Tamandua tetradactyla: one gene and its partners. The protein of the gene in region 2 purifies or fractionates together with the protein of the main gene of each other region. This does not show direct contact. Links are inferred from orthologs where the notes say so. Each region holds a gene or a part of one and is shown on either strand. Other genes may lie near its edges. The genes, in order: AP3B2, AP3M1 and AP3S2.

Region 1 (7,829 bases), on a different chromosome or scaffold from region 2:
GTGGGTGGGACCCCACCCGGTGCACACACACAGCTCCGCCTCCCTAGGACCCCCGGGGCACACCCCGCAGACCTTCACACACCCAACACCCCTGCAAAAGGAATGTACCACCAACATACAGCCCCCAACACAACCCACAGCCACAGTCACACCCCAGGCACAGCCACCTGCCTATGGACACACCTGCACCCTTACCCTACAGACATGCAGCCCCTGCAGCCACACCCTACAGCCACACACCCCCTACAGCCACACCCCCTACAGCCACACACCTTACAGCCACACCCCTACAGCCACACACACCCTACAGCCACACACACCTACAGCCACACACACCCTACAGCCATATACCCTACAGAAACACACACCCTACAGCCACAGCTACAAGCATCAGACACACTCACCTTATAGCCACACACACCCTACAGACACACACATCCTACAGCCACACACCCCTTGCAGACACACACCTACAGCCATACACTATAGACGCACACACCCTACAGACACACCTAGACACACATGCACACACTCTCACACATCCTCAGACACCCCACCCCAACACATCTCCTTGACAAATACAGCACAGTCACACCACACACACCACCACACAGACACCTTTTTGACACACCTGGGCACTCCACTCTCACTCAGCTAAGGGCCAGTGGCCTCCTATTTGAACTTCTCTACGACAGACTCAGGCTTCTCAGCTCAAACCCAGGCAGCCTCAGGGCCCCTGAGGGTCAGCTGGCCGTCCCCACAAGGCCCCGTGCCCTCTTGTGTCACCGCCGTGGCTTTTCACAGTGCTTCGTGGGGAGTGGCTGGTTTTCCAGTTGCTTTAGTTCTGGGTGGTTCTTAAGCACACGGCCTTATGCCCAGATAGCGTCACCACACCCACAAATGCCACAGGCTGCTGTCAAAACGCACACACCCTGGCAGGCACTGGGGTCCCATTCCAGGCACGAGGCTCCAGCCCAAGCACAGGAGGATGGAGGGAGAGGACGACCGCTGGCTAAAGGTGACAGAGCATGGCCAGGAGGGACTGTCCGACTGAGACACTCCTTAGCCCACGAACTCAGACAGCAGCACCCTCCTGGGTGGGCCACAGGTCCCCCATCCTGGACCCCAACAGCTCAGAGTCTTGAGAGGAAGAGGAAGAGGAAGGGAGAGCTGCCTAGCAACACCCGAAGGCCATGAAACATTAAACTCCCAGTCAGATCCCTTATATAGCACTGTGACCTGCCCTGGCCCAGCGGAAGGACCTGCCCGGGGGGCCGCTGGAGCCAGCCAGGGGCTCAGCATGACTGAGGCCAGCCCGCTCGGCATCCCTGGGCTGCATCGCCCTCTGTCCCCTCAGCACCCATGTTCCAGCCCACTCACGGGAAGAGCTGGCCGAACCCTCTGTGCTTTATCCTGCCCTCCGTGCTCCCCCACCCCCGTCCAGGGCTGGGGCCAGGGAAGGATCAAGGTGGGACCTCAGTCCTCAGACACCTTCCCATCCTCCTCCCCAGAGCCTCCAGGGAGCCACGTGCCTCACCCCCACCTGCCCCAGAGCCCCAAATCCGTGAGCCCCATGCACACTTGCCCCCCCCTCCGTGCCCTGTGCCCTCCCCTCCCCGAGCCCCAGCCTGGGCCCTAATTGCCAGCCCAGCCCTCCTCCACCCGAGGGGGTGCACTTGAAGAAGTCCAAGCTGAGGGTGGCAGCTGCCCATCACTGCCTCCCCAGCCGTCGGGGTGGGCGCCCTGGGGGTCCCCCGTACCGCAGCGGCTGGCTCAGGCCCTGGCCAAACTCTGGGCAGGGACCTTCCTGGGGTGCCTCTGGGGTTGTGTCTTCCTCCGGGGCCTTCAGACACCGCAGCTCCTCCGGCTGCAGGGCCTGGTACCAGGGCGGAGTTCCCCCTTCAGGGGCCAGCACGGGGCTGGTGGCCTCCTGGTCGGCCCCACGGGAGCCCTGGGTCCCGGGGAGCTGCAGGAAGCGCTGCATGGGGCCACAGCTTCTGCCCAGGACTGGGGCTGAGCTGACCGGGGCTGAGCTGACCCGCGGCAGGCACCAAAGGCCGGCCCCAGCGACTCAGACACCGGACACGGCGAGGGGGAGCTCTGGTTTCCAGGGCTCGGCTCAGAGGCAAGGCCCCCTGGGGGCGGGGGAGGGCGGGAACAGGGCACGCCCAGTCCAGCCAGTCAGGCCTGTGGCTCCTACCGCCTCACAGCCTCCTTTCGTCACCCATGCCCTAGTCGGGCACCCTGCGTGTCCCACGTCACCTCCCCGCGGTGTCCACCGTCCTCTTGGGAGCCTTCTAAAAAGCGGATCCGATGCCAGCACCTTCAAACTGCTGGAAGCCGCCCCCCCAACCCCGAGTTCCCCGCCCCCCCCCCCAGCAACCTGCCCCTCCGCCCCACCCTCCAGGGAGTGCGGTGGCTGTGATCTTACAGCCCTTGGGCCCACCGAACCCGGCCCACCCGCGGGCAGAGCCCCTCCTGCCTGAATGTTCCCCACCCCCCCTCCCCCACCCCCACCCCGCTGACCAGCACCAGGCCCAGCCCCCCTGGACGCTCGGTGTCCCCACCACACAGTTATCATGGCTTCCTGTTGTGCGTCCCCCTAGAGAGGCGTAGGGCTGAGGCTGGCCACGCTCGCGGCTGAGGGTGCCCAGCGAGGGGCTCCGGCCACCCTTAGAAAATGTTTGGTTCAGAAATGAGGAAGAAGGAGAGTCCGGGGCGGGGGCGGGGTCAGGGTGGGGGTCTGAGGCCGGGGCCAAGGACGGTCGGCCTAGAGGGGCGACGTGCGGGCGCGCGTGGAGGAGGAGGAGGGCGGGTGGCGAGCTCCGGGTCCAGGGTGCCCCCCCCTCCCCCGACCCCCCGGCCAGCTCGCGCGCGCTGATCCCCCCCCCACGTTCCTGCAGAGCCCACGGGCCCGGGAACCTGTACTCCAACCCCACACAAAGAGGAAGCCCTGGGGGAGAGGGGTGCTCCTCCCAGAGGCACCCACCCCAGACCGCCCCCAGCCTCCGTGCACCCCCCATCTCCCGGACTCCAGGTCGGCCCCTCCGGGCAGGGATGCCGGCATCGGGGGGCGGGTCTCCCGTGGGGCGCGGGTCTCCCGTGGGGCGCGGGTTTCCTCGCCGGGTCGGGCCGGGTTGGGGCGGCGGGCGGGCCGCGGGCGCTGTCCATGGTGCCGGAGCGGAAGCGCCGGCCGGGCCCAGGCCCGGGTGGGCAGCGCCGGCCTCGTCCCCCGGGGCCCCCTCACCGCTTATAGTCGGAGGAGAAGATGCCGCCGCTCGCCGGGTCGTGGCCGTACTCGGGCTCGCCGGGGCCAGCGGAGCCGCCCTTGTCTTCGCTGTAGGCGGGCGCGGCCGACATGGATGCGGGGACCGGCTCCGCCGGGGCGAGGCTGCGCGGCCGGGGAGAGACGCGGGCCGGGCCGGGCCGGGCGAGGCGGTCAGCGGCGCGGGCTCGGCAGAGGCGCCTCGGGCTGCGCGGGCCGGGCCGGGGGCGGCGCGGGGCCTCGGGGCGCGCAGGGCGCCGGCGCGGCGGGGCGGGGCGGGCGCGCAGCCCGCGGCCCGAGGAAGCGCGGTCCCGGGAGGGCCCCTCCGCCGCCTCTTAAAGGGATGACGCTCCTCCTGGGCCCGGGCGGGTGGAGGCCCGGGTGGGCGTTCCGAGGGGGCTCCTCCGGGCGCAGCTGCCTGCGCTCGCCTCCCGCCCCCCACCCCGCGCTGGGGATGGAAAAGGGCGGACTGAGGCGTAGGCTGGGCCTGCGGGCTGCGGGGGGGGGCGCCGCACCCGAGCCAGCCTCAGGCACCTAAGCCCGCTCCTTCTTCCCACCCCACATTCCTCTGATGCTAGGACCCCCTGACTGCGCCCCCGAGGCTTCCTGGAGTTGGTGGAATTTGAGCCCATGGAGGGCAGAGAGAAGGGGAGCGGAGAGAAGACGGTGAGCCCGAGTCCTGCTTTGGGGAGCAGTTTATTGACTCTTTCTGAAGCCCCCAAGCCCACCCTGGCGGCCCACGGTCTCCGTCTAATCCAGAGTCACGTCCACCAACACCTGGAAGGAAGGGAAGGGAAGGGCGCTAGTTAGGTCTGGTGCGACCACCAGGGCCGAGGCTGGGCTGCACACTAGGATTACGTGTTGGACCCGTCGGCTGGGAGGCAGTGGCCACGTTGGACGGGGCAGGCGCTCCCGGGGAATGCTAGTGCGCCTGGATGGGGTGCCGGGCCTGGGCTTGGGCACTGACCTCTGAACTTCAGTTTTAGGATATAGGTGTGGAGGGGACCTGTGGGCCGGAGGCGCCGCTGTGGAGCGGACCCTCGAGGCTTTCGGAGGGGGGCAACCTCGGCGAGTGCTGGCCTGGCTTGGTTCTGAGGCCTTGGGCCAGACCCCAAAGCGGATCCTGAGTTTGGAGGAACCTGGCCTGCGGGCTGCGGGGGGATTTTGCCGGGGCGCGTTGGGTTTCCGCGTTTGTGAGCCGGCTCCGGAGTGGGGCCGCGTGGTCAGTGGGGCCCAGCTCACCGAGCCGCTGGGGCTCCGGCCCGCCCACAGAGGGGCCAGGCTGGGGTCGTGGCCGAGCAAGTGCAGCGCGAAGTGCACGCAGTTGCTGCGCGTGGGGTGGTAGGGAGGCGGGTCCGAGTCCATGGCCTCGCGCACGCGTCTCTGCAGCGCAGCGCGGTCCACGCCGCCGCGTCTACGCAGCACGCGCCAGAGTGAGCGGGAGCGCAGGAGTGGCCGCTCACCCTGCTTGCACACGACGCCTTCCCAGGAGCCCAGCAACTTGTGCGGGTCCCGACCTCCGGGGTGCCTGCCTGCGGGGTGCAAATCGCAGCCAGCTTTAAATCTCAGCGCCCCACACGTCGGACTTCCCAGCTCGCGTCCCCGTGACCATGCACCCCGTGTCCCGGGGCCCCGAAGTCCTGAGTCCGGTGCCCTGCGTGCTCTGGCCCCATCTTTAGAGACCCGCAGCCCCCGTCCCCATGTGGCCCGCCCGCGGGTGGCACGTGACAGCCCCTCACCGCCGGCCCGGGCCCGGGGTTCAGCCCGAGGCGCTCACCCTCGAAGTGGATGATCTCGCCGTGGCCGCAGTACACGCCCACGTGGGCCCCGCACCAGCGGCCCTTGGGGGACGCGATTCTGAACAGGAAGAGGTCGCCGGGCTCGGGCTCCCCGCCTCCCAGCTCCACGGCCTCAAAGTGCTGGCCCAGGATAGCCTCGGCGAGGAAGAACTTCATGGTGGCGACCGCCCCAGTCAGCGCCTGGGGGACAGGGGACTCACGGCCAGTGCAGGAGACACGCGGCCGTTCCACCGACCGTGGGGTCAGGTGGCCCGCCCGGGGCACAGGGAGAACCGGCTGGGGGCTGGGCCCATATGGGAATGCGTTTCCTGCACGGCACCAGCCTCGCTGGACTTAGGGACTCCAGGCCGCTGGGTGTGGTGGCTAAGTCCTGCCCTGAGCCACCTCTGAGAAGCCCTCTGTTTCCAGCAGTTGGACGCCCCCCTCCCGACCCACTGTGGTCTCCTCATTCCAGCCTCTCTGTTCTGTCCCCCTGCTCCAGGGTCCCTTCCCCCAGCTACCTCCCACCTGTGAGTGAGGTCTGGGTCTCAGCGCTTACCTCAGTGGAACACAACACCTGAAGAAACAGAAAGCTGGGTGAGATCTGAGTCTGCATAGGCATCTCCTCCAAAGCCAGGGCAGAGAAAGACCCCCAGCAACCTCAGCAGCCACTGAGTGGCCGCCCGTTTGATCCTTAATACAATCCTACCAGCTGGGGACAGTAAGCCCATTTTCAAGATAAGGAAACTTGAAGTTCACGGAGGTGAACTCCCTGGGGCTCCCACAGCTAGCATCTGCCTGCGTGACTCTGGGTTCCATGTTCTCTCTCCCCGTCAGTTGCCTTCTCTTCTCTATAAGGAAGTGAGAAATACGCTTAATGCAGCTTTCTCCTGTCTTGATTAGGAATGAGGGGCTGTTAGAACTTGGGGGGCTCACCCATCCCCCACCTGCCGGGCACTGGGCTCACCAGCAGGCGGAGCTGGGAGGAGGATGTGGCCCACCAAGCCCGGGGCCCGGCATCTCTGAGGGGTGCTGACTGCTGCTGCTGGGGTTCAGGTGGGAAAGGACCCACATGTGGGAGAGGCGCCCGCTGCCTAGAGCCACACGGCGTCTTCCTGGCGTTTTTAATGCCCCTTATCTAGACCTGTTCAGTCCCGCTAGGGCATTGCTGTGACCAGTTGAGTGTGGGCTGGATTGCAGCCCCCCTGGCTCCCCAGACTGGTGCCACCACAGCTGTGCCCAGCAGTCCAGGTGAGGGGGACTGACCCCCCAAGAAAGCAGGAGCACACTTAGGCAGGTGAAGTGCCCCCGCCCCTGCAGGTTAAAATGCAGAGGAAACCTAGGGTACACTGTCAAAGGAGAGCCCTGTGAGGACCCAGTTTGAGGTCAAGGGCACTAAGTGCCACTGCGCCCCAGCCCCTGGTCTGCCTGGTCTGGGGAGGAGGTGTCTCCCGCATCCGGACTGGGAGGGGAGATGAGTCAAGGCTCAGCCCCTTGCTCTGGGCACCCGGGCAATGGAGCATCAGAACCGAGGCAGCAACAGAGAAGCTGCGAGTGCCTGGTATTCCCAAACCCTGCACCTCCCTTTGCTCTGCCATATAGCTAAGGGCCTGGCCTTCCCCCCTAGGCTGTCTGTCCCGTTGGCCACGAGGCCAAAGGACAAAGGAGGTCACTGAATGTCTCTCCACCTGTTTCCTTATGAAGAAAAGGGAGACAGCCTCCCACTGGGTGGTGGCACCAAGGCCAGCCCAGGTGGGTCACGTGACATTCTGGCCCTTGTGGGTGTCCAGAGCACTTAGCCCAAGCCCAGCTGGCCCCGTGGCCCACCGAGGTGAGGCTCGTCATGGGTCGCCCCCTCCCTCTGCTTCCCCCTCTTGGGAAGCAGCTCGAGGGTGACTTGGGGTGCACTGCAGGGGCCTCAGCGCCCAGGGGATCCTGGGGGAGCGGCCGGCTGTGTCTGATCCCCCAAACGGTCAGGCTGAGTGGCAGGGGCCTCAGAGGCCTGGACACACAGGGCCGCTGCCGGCCGCTGCCGTTTATTTTCAGGCAGGACTCTTTCTTCCAGGCAGCACTGGCTCACTGTCCTCTCCTGTCCCTGACCCTCCTTTCCTTCCCCTCCCGGTCCCCACTGCTCATCACTGGGTGAGTCTCATTTCCCTGACTGCGAGCTTTGGCCCAGTGGGTAGTGTCCTCAGCTCCTCCTAGTTGGTGTGGGAGCTTCCAGGTCTTAAAAGTCCAGCATCTCAGGAACCAGGAAGACCCGGATGGTGGGTCACCCTTGGTTCAGTTAACCGCCCGCCCCCCAATCCCTCTCAACCTCAGGAGACAGCACGGAGACCCAAAGGCACGAGTGGCCCTCAGCCCTGGCCTCCTGCGATGCCCCAAGCAGGGCAGGCACCAGGCCGCTGCCTCCCCTTCCCCACCCCCACTGGGCCAAGAGAGGTGACAGCTGTGGGGGGAGGCCCGGCCCTTGCTGGGGAGAAGAGATGAGGTGAGGACCTCTGCTCCAGTTACCTGGGATGTGCAGCTCATCTAGGAAGGAAAAAACCTGCTGTCACCACCAGGCCAGGGAGGAGGTGAGACCACTCCCATCCCCCCAACCCTGTGGGGCCATGACTGTGGAGTCGATGTGTCCATCTGGGACGCTGGGCCCGGGCCTGGGCAGCGCAGCTGTGGCTGGCCCTCCCCTCTGTGCGGACCCAAGGTGGGCCTCAACCTCCTCAGGTGTGAACTGGGGACAGTAAGCCTGCAGGCTGGGTCCAGGAGCGCTGGGAGGCACTGGGAGC
Region 2 (7,527 bases):
AATCAGTGGCTCACAAATATTATCACATAGCTGTGTATTCATCACCATGATAATTTTTTAGGACATTTGCATCATTACAGAAAAAGAAACAAAAAGAAAAAGAAAAAACTCATACATACCATACCCCTCATCCCTCCCTCCCACTGATTACCAACATTTCTATCTATGCAATCTACTCTACCCCTTATCCCTATTATCTATTTATTTTTTATCCATATTTTACTCATCTGTCCTCACCCTGGAAAAAAGGAGCATCAGACACAAAGCTTTTACAATCACACAGTTACACTGTAAAAGTTATATCTTTATACAATCGTCTCCAAGAATTGAGGCTTCTGGAACACAGCATACCAGCCTCAGGTACTTCCCCCCAGTCACTCTAACACACCACAAACCAAAAAGGAATATCTATATAATGCCCAAGAACAACCTCCAGCATAACCTTTCAACTCGGTCTGAAATCTCTCTCAACAAGTAGTTTTGAATACATTTTATATATTAGGTGTTAAGAACTACAAAGATGGACATTGAGAGGTCAGCCAAGTTGACAACCAACTAGAGTGTGTTAGTGTGTTTCCAGAAGAACCGTGTTGTAAACAAAAAGTAGCACAGAGAAGTCAAGCTATAAGAAGAACTGAAACTGTCTATTCATTTAAGTTTTTCTTAACCTTATTTTCATTATCATCCTTCTGATGGGCCTTTTAGACTCTTCCTCCCATAATTGCAAACCATCTCCCATAATTGCAAACCACCTCCCAAGATATATATATATAGTGTTATATAAAATAACACAAATGTATTATCTTACAGTATAGGTCTCACTGGGTTATAATCAAGTTATCCATGAAATTTTAATACCACAGAATATGGTATGTTTGTTTATGTACTATATGTAAACTGTGCTTTAAATATAAGAAAAGTAAGATTTTTTTTCATCCTGTAAGAAGCAATTTTTGTCCTCACTGAGAGATTTAACACATAAAGGACATTGGTGATCTTGGTAAAAGCAGTTTCAGTGGTAGTTTGGTAGAATACTGGAAACAAAAGACAGATTGCAGTGGGCTGAGTAATAAATAGCAAGAAGTGGGAAAAATAGAGATAAAGGGAGAGCAGATGACATATTCAAGAAGTCAAGCTGTGAAGGGGATGAAAAGAGAGGAAAATAAGTGGGAATAGTTCATAAATTGAGGAAGAATATTTTTAAATGCTGAAGAGAAGGTGTGAGAAGGCTTGTGATGTAGGAGAGAGGAAATAAGTGAAAGAAAGAGGACCCCAAGAAGGAGAAAATGGTATTGGGTAACTAGGTGAAAGGATTTGTTTTCCCTAAGGAGAAGGGCCATGTTTCTCAGTAGTACATTATGTTGAATGTTTAGAAACATGTAAAAATCATAGAACTCAGTGAGAAAAACTAACCTTGTTGTAAAGAGAACTTTCCTATTAAAGATAAACAAGTGTATATATATAAAGATATACAAGTTTCAGTTAATTTCTCATTCACTTTGTATGCTTCACTTTTCCTACAGTTTCAGTTTCAAGTGTCCTATCTTTCTAAATTAATTTTGTACTTGTAAATTTGGTTCCAGTACCCTCATTCAATTCTGGGATCATACCTCTCTTTCTTAAACCTTTAATTTTATACATTAATTACTAGCTTACTGCTTGGAAACATAATGCTTTGTAATCTTTTTTAAAAAAACAACAACAAAAAACCCAAAACAAAACATCCAAATATTTTCCCCATGTTACCACTCTCGTTTATCTTTTGCTTCCTGCCCCAAATGATAAAGGGTTAGTTAACACTTGCAGCATCTCTCTCAATCAATGACTTCCTAATCATTAAATCCAATGATCTCTTCTCAGACTTCCTCTATTGACCTATGCCGCATTTCAAGTCACTGGCAAAATTCCCCCATACAAAACAAATACCTCTTACGCTATTTTATGAAACTTCACCTGTTTTGGCTCTCACCTTGAAAGTTTTTTTTCGGTTTAATTCCCAGGCTTCTTTTATTATTATTTTTAAAAATTATTCTACCATCTCCACCTAAGCTACTGCTTCAAACTCGATATATTCTAAACTAAACACAGCATCCGATCTCCACAAAATTCCTTCTTCTTCAAGTGAGAACTCTCAACTTTAGAGTTAGCATCTTCTCCTTGGTCATCTAGGCCAGAAACTTCAGCTTCAAATTCAACCCAAATCCAACCAGTGACATCTCTCATAATTTTTCTGTATTCCCTCCCACCTCATCGGTTTAGCTCTCTGTCACCTCTTCTGAAGAACTGCCACATCCTTCTTACAGTATTGTATTCCCTATCCCAGACTCATCCCGGCACCACCCTCTAACAGGACGTCCGCTCAACTTCGTCAGGGGTTTCGTTCTACAAAACGGAAGCCCGGACCTGAGGTGCGAGCTGTTGTTGCTTCAAGCTCAATACTGGTGACAAGACCTTTTCTCCCGCTCCAGGGCGTGAAGACAGACTAGCTTGAACCCGCAGTTCCGAGGTTCTGAGACCACTGGGCCGCAGGTACATCGCTCCCTTCCGGCCCTGCTGGCTACAAAGCCCGGGAGGCCAGGAAGGAGCGCGGCCCCTCCCCACAGCACCGGAGACGCTCCCGCCGCCCAAGGTGAAGTCCGGAGCCCCAGCTATTCAGCCTGTTCCCCATTTTCCGAGCTGTCCGCAGGCTGCAGATTGCCCCCACCGTCCCCACCCTCACACTCACCCCGGTACCTGGGCCAGTCAGTGATTCGGTGCCGGGTCCTCTCCCGACCTAGGCTGAGACAGCTGAGAAGGCCGTGAGGACCCCGTAGTTGGAGTGCTCAGGAGATTGCCTGATTAACAGCTTCATAGACACTGACTCGGTCTGCAGTAGTGGAAAGATTAAAAAAAGCCAGAAGACGTTAAACGAGATGAAAGACGTTCCTTAAGGTTGAGGATCTAAATCTTCTAGATTACCCAGCCTCTAGAAGAATAAGGGTTTCGCACCTTCCAGCGCAGGCGCTCATCCGCGGCCTAACTCATTCTCGGGTCCCCCGCAGGCGGGGCGGGGCCAAAAAGGGGCGGGGTATTGGTTGTGGGGACCACGGATAAAACCATTGGTTGTGGACGGGAGAGGCCCAGACTGGGCGAGGCCCTGAAGAGGCGGGGAGAGGGGCGTGCTTTGCAGAAAAGGAGGCAGTGATGTGACAGGGGCGGGGCCAGAGCGCCGAGGCGGGTGGAGCGCAGCCAAGCCAAGTGGGGTGGGAAGGCGAAGATGGCAGCGACCGAGGAGGAGCCAAAGCCCAAAAAGCTGAAGGTGGAGGCGCCGCGAGCGCTGAGGTGAGCGCTCCCCGACGTGGGGAGGAGGGTGGCGACGGCTGCCGCAAGCCAGGGCCCACGTGGGGTTGCGCGGGCCGGGCGCTGCGTGTTTTCCTGCTGCCCGTGTGGGGTCAGCGCGCGGGACCGGCGCCCAGGAGCTGCCCGCGTAGTCGCGACCTCTTTACCCGCCCAATTTGTCTGGCCCATTCGCTGTCCGCTCCCGAGCGGTTCGGACTCACGGCCTCCTTGGCCAATCAGAGTGTCCGTTCTGTGGGCAGAGGCGGTGGCAGGCAAGCTGCGGGCGCCACGTGCTAGCCTGCTTCAGCTGGGCCGGTGCGACCCATGAGAACCTGACCAGAATCCAAGCCGGCTACCTCCTCTTCCGCGAGGACTAGCCGGGGAGGAGGCCCTAAGCTTGCTGTACCCTGGGGCAGTGACAACCACTTGCGAATTCTTGGGGATTTTTAGGAAAGTGTCGCGGAAGGGCGCCTTGACCTTGCTCCTCGCACAGACTCTAACAGCCGGCAACTTTGAAGATCCTCTGCCAGGGACCCACAACGCCACCGCCGGGGCATTGCGGGGCTGACATTTGGCTGAGTGGATAGGAAAGGTTGATTATTCTTTTTTCTTTGCACTTTTTTAGCAGCAGTGGACACAGTTCTGTCTCTGATAGCTGCCTCGCATGGATTGGCATTGCAACTTTTACTTAAAAAAAGTTATTGAAAATACTTGAACTCTGAAGTAAACCACGCACTGTCTTAGTAATACAGTTATTAAAATATTGTTTCTTCAGTTGCAACAAATGCACCACACTAATGCAAGGTGTTAATAATGGAATAGCATGTGGAACTGTATTTTATGCATGATTTTCTGTAAACGTACACCTTCTCTAATAAAAAAATACAATGGTAAAAAAATTCCCCTTCTTAATAAGTATAAAAAGCTACATCAAAATTATTTGGTGATTTTGAACAGCATGTGGAAAGTCAGTGATTTTTCTATCTAAAACCAGACAAACTAAACCTGTTGGGGCCCTCCTGAAATAAGTCGTATCCTATTTATTTTAACACCAGTGTTCTTCAGCTCTAAATAATGAACACTTAAAATTGAAGAAAAGGTCACTTAGGGGCCTGGTAGTGTGGCCATGGTAACATGTGGCAAAATATCAAATCCCTGCCAATGCTTTTAATGTATTCCTACTACCCTCAAAGGTTGAGTGTGCCTATCTTATGCCTAGAAAATAAACTTTTTTTTTTTAACTTCTCAGGATGTTCTAGTTTTCATCTAAAGCTTTCATGCTCTGTAAGGTAAAGCAAAGGCCCTCTGACTTACCTAAGTTGCATGCATATACTTTTCTGACTGTCCTTTTTTAGTGTTTCCTTCACAAAACTTTCCTCACCAAATTGGAAGACAGATACTAGGTTTTTTCTGCTATTTCATCAAACATATAAACCTTAGATTTCCCCTTAGTAAAATAATACTTTATATGTAATGGTCATCCATTTTCAAAGTGCTTTTCTACTTATTATCTCACTGTACAGCCCTGTGAGTTAACGAGGACAAGAATTCTCGCATTTTACAGCTGAGAAAATTGAAGCCCAAATGAAACAACTGGTTAAACGACTGAAATCAGAACATTTGGGTGCAGGTTCATTGATACTTTACTCTATTGTATTTGCCTTTATACCACCCAAGGTATGCTTATTTTTGTTTATAAATCCTTAAAAATAATGAGGATCAATAATATTTAATATTTAAATATGCATGCCCAGGCACTGCTTCAGCAATATACCTATTGTAATTCATTCGCTCCCCACAACAATCCTGTAAGGTGGCTATTATAATTGTCTCCATTTTATGGATGAGAAAACAGACATAGAGAGATTAAGTAATTTGATCAAGGTCACTTATCTAGAAGGTGGTGGGGTTGGGATTTGAATCCAGGTATTCTGGTTCCAAGTCTGTTCTTAATTATTATACTCTACATATTAACTTCAATTTACCAAAAAAAAAACCCTAGTGAACTGTTAATACAATTTTTGTTTTTCAACTTTCTCTTGTTTTTTGTTTGTATACATAACTTTTTATTTTGTTGCAATATATTTGCTTGTGATACATCATAATTATAGTTACATATGATGCAGTTTGTATGTCATTAGTGTCTATTTAAATTTGTAAACATCCTTAGGCAACTAAAATTGGTTTTATACAGTATCATCTTCGCACCTGTAGACATGAGCTTAAATACTTGATGCAAATAAAAGATTGGACACTGTTGAATATTGGGACAAATCTCTTAATTTTGTGCAAAGATACAAAAATTGACAGTTCCTGCTTTCATTGAATTTTATGAGTTTGCCAGAGAATGATAATGCATTGAGTGGTTGGACTGTATCACCTGAGATGACATGCTTAACCGAAATAACTTCCAGTTCAGGTTAACTCTTTAAAGAGAAATGGCTTATAAAGTCTAAGCATAATTTACTGGGTAGAATCAGTTAGTAGGGGAAACAAGTTTATGATAGATTTCTTTAGATGTCGGGGAAAGGATTTAGGCCCTATGGAAATTTCAGTTAGTGCTAGGGCAGTGGTTCTCACTCAGGGAAGATTTTGCCCCAGGGGGACATTTGGTAAAGTCTGGAGACATTTTTGGTTGTCACAACTGGGGTGGGGTGGAAGTGCTACTTACACTTATGGGTAGGATTCAGTGATGCTGCTGAACATTCCATGGTGCATAGGACAGCTATCCGTAACAAAATCATTGGCCAAAAAATGTTAGTAGTGTTGAGGTTGAGTAACTTTGCTGTAGGGAAGGCATCCCTCTTGGCTAGCCTCTCTTAAATGTCCATTATTTTTCTAGGCTGGGTTAACTTTCAGAGTATAGCGGTCGTTAAAGTTGGAAAGAAAGAAGCAGGCTCTAACATGCTTTCAGTTGGGATTGGGGTAAAGAAGGGTACATTAATTGAATACCTATAGTATGCCAGGCATTATACTCATCTTTTTTTTTTTATGACTAAAATGCATTTAATCTCCTGGAGTACAATTTCACGTTTGCCATGTGGGGACTGCCTTCTATACTAATCTTTACATATGCTGTCTTACTTGATGCTCCCAGTGCCTATGAGGTGGGAGGAATTATCTCTGTGTTACAGATGAAGTATTTGGAACTTAAAGAAGTTGAGAGCCATTGTTGGGAACTGCTCCCTGAATGAAGAGGTTCCGTGATGATTACCTATATTTAGGACCACTTAGTTTGCTTTCTCTCCTTTGAAAATCTCATCCAAGTTCATTTCTTTAGCAGTCACCTCTAAGAGGATCAGCTCCCTGCAGCACTTGTTGAACAACTGCCAAATCTGCCCTTTCAGTCATTACTTCAAGTGCCTACTATTTTAGGCATGGTGCTAGGAACTGGGTACATATATAGAAAGACATGAGACACAGGTACTATCCTCTTGGTTTGAAATGAGTGGGGTTTGGGAAAATGATACCCGAGCATCCTGAAGGATGACTAGGATTTAGCCAGGTGTAAAGTAGGGGAAAAGTGCTTGGTTTTATAGGAAAGTTTGGAGCCAGAAATGGGAAGGTTGACTCTGTTGGGAAACTACAGATGGTTTGGTCTGACGGAAGCAGAGGGCCTAAGGGGCCCAGGCTTTGTACTGGATACTTTCGTATATGTAATCTTTCCTTCTGTTTATCTCTAAGCTCTTAGACCCTAATTTCAAATGCCTACTGAATATCTCCTTCTGATACTTAGAATCAGATAATATACCTAAATTCATCTTTTGCCCTAAGCCTGCATCTTCTCCTATGACTCCTGTATCTATTAATGGTACCACTAACCTCCCTTTCTCAAAAGTTTGAAACCTAGATTTTTGACTCACTTACCATCTGCATATAGTTATCGAAGTTGGTCTTTTCTTTCTCAGTAATGTTTCATAAATGTCTTTCCTTTTCCATTCCTGCCACCACAACATAAGTGTAGATTACCTTTTGCTTAGATTTTTTTATTGGCTTCCTAGCTTGAGACATGAGTCTCAAGTTCTGCTTAATCTTCTTCAGGCTTATCTCTACTTGTTCATCATAGCATATATGTATGTATTATATATATGCTATTATTGACCCATAGTATTGGTTTGGGCGTTTGTTACCAAATGTACCACAGTATTGGTTTGGTACATTTGGTACATTTGTTACTGTTGATGAAAGAGAAAATATTACTGTTAACTA
Region 3 (7,421 bases), on a different chromosome or scaffold from region 2:
TACATAGATTCACCAGACAGAAGATCAACAAGGAAATAGGTTAAATAACTTGATTAATGAATTAGACCTAACAGACATATATAGGTCATTGCGCCCCAAAACACAAGGTTATACATTCTTCTCTACTACTCACGGAACATTCTTCAGGATAGAGCATACACTGGGGCACAAAACAGGTTTTTATAAATTTAAAAATATTGAAATTATTCAAAGTACTTTCTCTGATCAAATGGGATGACGCTGGATCTCAATAACCACCAAAGAATAAGAACATTCACAAGTATATGGAGAATAAACAATATACTCTTAAACAACCAGTGGGTCAATGAAGAAATTGCTAGAGAAACCAGTAGCTATTTGGAGATGAATGAAAATGAGAACACAACTTTTCAGAACTTATGGGATGTGGCAAAGGCTGGGCTGAGAGTGAAATTTTTGCCTTAAATGCCTATACCAAAAAACAAGAAAGAGCAAAAATTGAGGACTTAACAGCAAACCTGGAGGAACTTGAGAAAGAACAGCAAACTAACACCAAAACAAATAGGAGAAGAGAATAGCAAAGATTAAAGCCGAAATAAATGAATGGGAGAACAAAAGAACAATAGAAAGAATCAATAAAACCAAAAGTTGGTTCTTTGAGAAATCAATAAAATTGATGGGCCACTAGCAAGACTGACAAAGAAAAATGAGAGATGATGCAAATAAACAAAATTAGAAATGAGAAGGGGTGCGTTACCACAAACCTTGAAGAAATCATAAGAGGATAGTACGATACAAGCCAACAAACTAGACAACTTAGATGAAAAGGACAAATTCCTGGAGACACACAAAACAAGCTACACTGACTCAGGAAGAAATAGAAGATCTCAACAAATCAATCACAAATTAAGAGATTCAATCAGTCCAAAAATTTTCCTACACAGAAAAGCTCAGGGCCAGATGGTTTCACCAGGGAACTTTATCAAACATTCCAGAAAGAACTAAGACCAATTCTGCTCAAATTTTTCAAAAAAATTGAGGAAAAAGGAACTCTACCTAACTCATTTTATGAAGCTAATATTTTAATACCAAAACCGGGTAAGATGCTATAAGAAAGGAAAACTACAGGCCAATCACCCTAATGAACATAGATGCAAAAATCCTTAATAAAATATTAGCAAATCTAACCCAACAGCACATTAAAAGAATTATACACCATGACCAGGAGGGGTTTATACCAGGAATGCAAGGATGTTTCAACACAAGAAAATCAATTAATGTAACACAGTATATATATATATATATATATATTTTTTTTTTGTAACAGTATATTAACAAGTCAAAAGGGAAAAAAATCACATGATCGTCTCGACTGTTACTGAAAAAGCATTCAACAAAACTCAGCATCCTTTTCTGATAAAAGCACTCCAAAAGAGAGGAATCAAAGGTAACTACGTCAATATGATAAAGGAAATATAGGAAAAACCCATAGCCAGCATCGTACTCAATGGAGAGAGACTGAAAACCTTCCCTCAGGTAAGACAAGGATGCCCACTGTCACCACTATTATTCAACATTGTGGTCAAAGTTCTAGCTATAGCAATCAGGCAGGACAAAGAAATAAAGGCATCCAAATTGGAAAGGAAGAAGTAAAACTCTAATTATTTGCAAATGGTATGATACTACACTTGGAAGATCCCGAGAAATCTACAGCAAAGTTACTTGAGCTAATAAACAAATTCAACAAGGTGGCAGGATATAAAATTAATGTGCAAAAATCAGTAACTTTTTTTCTATACACAAGCAATGAGCAAGCTGAGGAATTAGTTAAGGAAAAAATTCCATTCAAAATAGCAACTAAAAGAATCAAAGCTTAGGAATGAACTTAACTAGGGACATAAAGGACTGGTACACAGAAAACTATGTAACATTGCTAAAAGAAATCAAAGGTGATCAAAATAGGTGGAAAGACATTCCTTGCTCATGGACAGGAAGGCTAACTATAGTTAAGATGTCAATTCTTCCCAAACTGATCTACAGATTCAACACAGTACCAATCAAAATTCCAACAACCTACTTGAAGATTTGAAAAAGCTAACTACCAAATTCATCTGTTAGGGAAAGAGACCCCAAACAGCTAAATGCATTCTAAAAAGAAAAATGAAGTGAGCAGATAAACACTCCCTGACTTTAAAACCTATTATAAAGCCACAGTGGTGGGACACTCAGGGGCTGCTGGTGGGAATGTATAATGGCGCAGCCTCTATGGAAGACTGTTTGGTAACTTCTCTCCTTAGGAAACTAAATATGGAGTTGCCCTATGACCCAGCAATAGCACTACTTGGTATATACCCAGAAGAGCTGAAAGCAATGACACAAACAGACATTTGCATACCAATGTTCATAGCAGCATTTTCACAATCACCAAAAGATGGAAACAAACCAAATGCTCATCAACAGACGAGTGGATCAACAAAATGTGGTACAGACATATGATGGAATATTATGCAGCAATAAGGCAAAATGGCATCCTGAAGCACATGACAAGATGGATGAGCCTTGAGGACTTAATGCTGAGTGAAGTTAGCCAGACACAAAAGGACAGATACTGTATGAGTCCACTTCTACAACCAGCATAAAGGTATAATCAGAGGCTTATAATACAGAAAATAGGGAACTTAGAGAAACATAGAAGCTAGAGATGGGTGAACCAAGGAGGTTGAAGCGTATCTGGACTCCAGGGCAGTCCCAACACTGAAACAAAAGAATCCCGAAAAAGAACTTTCCAGACCGTATGTCCACAGTAAAAACGCTAAGCGGTGGAACGCTGTTTCCTTCTTGTAAAACTGGGTACCCAACAAACAAGATTAAAGCGCTTGGCCATTCAAACCCCCACCGAGGCCCGCCGCCCGCACCCAAGGCGTTTACACCTGCTGCAGGGAGACCCAGTGGGAAGAGACACGAAATGGCACAGCCGAGCAGGAGCACAGGCGGGGGGCAGGAGGCGCGCGGGGCTGCGGGGCTGCGGGGCTGGGGGGCTGCGGGGCTGGGCCCAACACCAAGGCCTGCCTCTGCCCCACGCGGGGTAGGAGGCGAAGAGGGGCTGAGGGTCCCGCTCCGGGCAGGAGCCCGAGGCGGTCGGCGGGGGCGCTGCAGCCGGATGGGCCCGGGGCGGAAGAAGAGGGACCGGAGGCCCTAGAGGAGCGTGGCAAAACCCGCCCGCACTCACGAAACGCTGGTAGAACCGGACCAGCCGCGGCTTCCCGTGGTTGTTGAACACCAGAACCGCCTGAATCATCTTCCCCGGCCGCGCCACCTTCAACACCCGCTACCCTCAGAGCAGCTCCTTCCGCCGCGCACGGCCACTTCCGGCCGGTGCTCACGGCCACTTCCGTTCGGTGCGCGGCCGAGAGCAGCTGGCGGAAACCGGCTCCCGGCGCCCAGGGGCCGGGGACCTGAGTGGCCGGGCTCTCCGCGCGCGCTGGACGCCGCTCCGAGGCGGGCAGGTGCGCGGGCAGAGGCGGGGTTGGGCCCCTCGGCCCCCGCCGGGACGCGAACCCGGGCCCGTGCCGGTCGTCCAGGCCCGCCGCTCGCCCGCGAGTCCCAGGCCGTCGGAAAGGCGGATCCCGAGGTAGAAACTCCGAAGCGCGGCGAGAACTTCCTCTGTCCCGGCCAGCCTCCCGCTAGCGCTCCGCGGTGGACGGGCCGCTTAATTTAGCCATTTCCTGACGCGAAATATTTAGGCCGTTTTTATTTTTCGGCGCTACAGACGATGGGGCGAACTATGTAGCTGTCTCTTCTCGCAGCAGGCTGATGTTTCTCCATGGTAGACAGTGAATAGTGGAATGAATTCAGTGCTATTCCAGTAAAAAGGCACTGGAGATCCCAGATTAGTACATTTTGTTTTGTTTTTTCTTTTCATACCTAGGGGAGGAGGCGTAGAGAAATGAGCAAGGACCGTTTATTTCGGATAAAGCTGCAAATTGAAATCACCTATCCAGAGAACAGTTTGGCAGTCTGTATCGGCAGTCTTTAAATTGTATATGTTAGACCCCGAATTTCCAGTTCTAGAATTTATAATAAAATAAGTGGGGCAAAAAATGATTTAGCCTCAAGAATATATAACTTGGCTGTGTTATTGCAGGGAAAAATGGGAAGCTAATTATTCCAAAATAAGTAAATGGTTAATGCATAGTTCCCCATGCATATTAGAAATACAGGGAAATGTTCATGGTACATCTGTAAATGAAAAGATTGCACAAAGATTTTATAGGGATATCCCACTTTGTAAATTATATATATAAAGATTGGAAGTAGATACACCAAAATAAAAGTAATACTTTGTATCTGATGGGATAGAAGTTTTATAGAGTATTCTGCACAGGCTGCTGGAACCACACTGCCTGGATTCAAATCCTGGCTTTGTTGACAGCCTGGGGGTCTTGGGCCAGTTTTTTCACCTGTAAAATAGGTGTAATATCAGTCTCCCTAACTGTAAAACTATGAAAATGACTCTGCTTAGCTCAGACAGTTGTTATAAGCACAGAAGGAGTTGATATTTGTAAGCACTTGGAGCAGCTGTATGACACATAATTGAGTGCTATATAAGTGACTTAAAATATCTTTGGGTTGTAGGATCATAGATTTTCTTTTTTTATTTTCTAAAATAAATAGGAATTGCTCTTCTAGTCACATAATTTTAATTTTTTTTTTTACTTTTTTAAACTTTTTTTTATTGTGAAACAACAGATGCAGAAAAGTAACAAATCTCAAATTATAGCTTAACAAGCAGTTATAGAGCAAATATCAAAATATGGTATCGGTTACATTTCCACAATTCAGGTATTTCTAAGCTGTTCTAATATACTAGAGACTAACAAGAAAGAAATCTTATCTTCTCTGGCACACCTCCTCCCTCTCATTTGATTCCTTTCCCAATCTTCAGGGGTATTTGGGCAATGACCATTCTAGCTTCTTCATGTCAAAAAGGGGTGTCAACCTAATGGGGTAGGGGCATGCAACTAGTTGATGTTCTTGGAGGGACTGGTGCCTCCGGGTTTCACGACTTATCTAGCATAGAAACCATCTGGAAGTTTTAAGTTTCTGAAAAATAAATTTTGCGAGTGAAACTTTTATAGAGCCTTAGATAGAGCCCTGGGCATTCAGGAATACCAGCAGTATGGGGCTTGGCATACTGTGGCAATTAGCATCATCTTGCTGAAGCTTGCTTAAGAGTAACTTACAGAATAGCCTTCGACTCTATTTGAAATATCTTAGCCACTGATTCCTTATTTTGTTCCATTTATTTTCCCCCTTTTGGTCAGGCAGACATTGTGGATCCCACGGAGCCAGGGCTAGGCGCATCCCTGGAACTCACGTCTCATGTAGCGGGGAGGGTAACGGGTTTCCTAGCAGAGCTGGGCTTAAAGATAGAGAGGCCACATCTGAGCAACAAAAGAGGGTCTCTCTGGAAGTGACTCTTAGGCGAAATTGTAGGTAGGCTTAGCTTCCCCATTACAGAAACAAGTTTCATAAGAGCAAACCTCAAGATCAAGGGCTTGCCTTATTAATGTGGGAATCCGAAATGTCTGAGAGTAGCAGGGTTTTCCCAGGTGAGGAGGTTTAACTGTTCCATATTTTACCTCCTGACCCTCAAGAGACTTTGCCAATATGTTTTACTGATCTTCCCAAAATACTCTGGAATGTATCAAGATATTACATTAAGCTATACAGAATTACAGCTATACAGACTGAGAAGCTCTCATCACAATTCTAGGCTCCATGTGCTTAGGCTGTTTAAATGAACTGACCAGATGGGGTAAGTTAGATTGTGCGCTACAAAAAATTAAAGTTTCGGACAGAATGAACATCTTTTCCTTTGGTCTCATACAGTACGTGAAGTTCTAAAATACAGACAGTATCATCCTTTACCCTGTATTCTGATGTATCCTTGTCCCAACCAGATCAACTTCATTTTATCTGGAATTGAAATCTAGTCTCTTTTTCAGCTTATTATTTTAATAAAAAATAATTTGACCTAAAACTTGATGCAATGTTTCAAATATTGAGGACGAATATCAAAAACAGAAAAATAAGGGGGAACTAGCCCTAGCAACTATTAAAACCTACTATGATCATTCGAATTATAATGATAAGGAGATTTATTGAACTATAATGGGTAATTTAAGTATAAAATAGCTTTAACATGTGATGGAGGAAAGACATCATGACTTGACAGTGGAAGGATTCAGTAAATGCTGTTGAGATAACTCGTTAGCAATTTGAAAGTAAGAAATTTAGGTACCTCACTTTTTACCTTCACACAAAGGCAGGATGGATGATTAAAGAGTTAAGTGTAAAACCAGATAATAACCAAAATGGGCCAGCAGATATATCTATATAAAGATTTTATGTTTATAAACAATTTTTTAAATGGAATACAGTTGTTAAAATATGGTAAATAGTTATCTTTAAAATATCAATAAGCCAGACAAACAAAAAAGATAAGACCTCTGATAGATAGCTAAAGGAACTGAGTAACAAGAGGAAATACATCTAGGAAAAAAAAACCATGAAAATAGTTTAAGCACCCTAGTAATGGGTGAAAAGGCAAACTGACATATTTGCCTTTTCAAACATCATTTTTAAAAAATGCTTTTCTATCACAGAAGACCTAAATAGGTGGAAGGGCATACCGTGTTCATGGATTGGAAGACTAAATATAGTTAAGATGTCAATCCTACCTAAATTGATTTACAGATTCAATGCAATACCAATCAAAATCCCAACAACTTATTTTTCAGAAATAGAAAAACCAATAAGCAAATTTATCTGGAAGGGCAGGGTGCCCCGAATTGCTAAAAGTATCTTGAGGAAAAAAAACCAAGCTGGAGGTCTCACGCTGCCGGACTTTAAGGCATATTATGAAGCCACAGTGGTCAAAACAGCATGGTATTGGCATAAAGATAGATGTATCGACCAATGGAATCGAATAGAGTGCTCAGATATAGACCCTCTCATCTATGGACATTTGATCTTTGATAAGGCAGTCAAGCCAACTCACCTGGGACAGAACAGTCTCTTCAATAAATGGTGCCTAGAGAACTGGATATCCATATGCAAAAGAATGAAAGAAGACCCATATCTCACACCTTACACAAAAGTTAACTCAAAATGGATCGAAGATCTAAACATTAGGTCTAAGACCATAAAACAGTTAGAGGAAAATGTAGGGAGATATCTTATGAAACTTACAATTGGAGGCGGTTTTATGGACCTTAAACCTAAAGCAAGAGCACTAAAGAAGGAAATAAATAAATGGGAGCTCCTCAAAATTAAACACTTTTGTGCATCAAAGAACTTCATCAAGAAAGTAGAAAGACAGCCTACACAATGGGAGACAATATTTGGAAATGACATATCAGATAAAGGTCTAGTATCCA

Evidence for each region.
Region 1: the proteins of AP3M1 (region 2) and AP3B2 purify together in Homo sapiens (co-immunoprecipitation; 3 studies listed by BioGRID and IntAct, counting the BioPlex papers as one, with this or other methods). This does not show direct contact. The link is inferred for Tamandua tetradactyla from reciprocal best matches to the Homo sapiens genes AP3M1 and AP3B2.
Region 3: the proteins of AP3M1 (region 2) and AP3S2 purify together in Homo sapiens (co-immunoprecipitation; 3 studies listed by BioGRID and IntAct, counting the BioPlex papers as one, with this or other methods). This does not show direct contact. The link is inferred for Tamandua tetradactyla from reciprocal best matches to the Homo sapiens genes AP3M1 and AP3S2.

The regions. Positions count from the first base shown.
Region 1 is NC_135338.1:99,773,340-99,781,168, forward strand, and holds the start of AP3B2 (AP-3 complex subunit beta-2), read right to left. Parts: upstream 3,361-7,829; coding exon 3,248-3,360; intron 1-3,247. Other genes in the region: uncharacterized protein LOC143652592, read right to left, coding at 4,016-4,042, 4,508-4,797, 5,043-5,244, 5,603-5,620, 7,558-7,575.
Region 2 is NC_135339.1:22,542,326-22,549,852, reverse strand, and holds the start of AP3M1 (AP-3 complex subunit mu-1), read right to left. Parts: upstream 3,120-7,527; 5' UTR 2,989-3,119; intron 2,867-2,988; 5' UTR 2,734-2,866; exon of another isoform or gene 2,726-2,733; intron 1-2,725. Other genes in the region: ADK (adenosine kinase), read left to right, coding at 3,257-3,321. UniProt on the Homo sapiens protein: Part of the AP-3 complex, an adaptor-related complex which is not clathrin-associated. The complex is associated with the Golgi region as well as more peripheral structures.
Region 3 is NC_135338.1:97,928,340-97,935,760, forward strand, and holds the start of AP3S2 (AP-3 complex subunit sigma-2), read right to left. Parts: upstream 3,377-7,421; 5' UTR 3,278-3,376; coding exon 3,209-3,277; intron 1-3,208. UniProt on the Homo sapiens protein: Part of the AP-3 complex, an adaptor-related complex which is not clathrin-associated. The complex is associated with the Golgi region as well as more peripheral structures.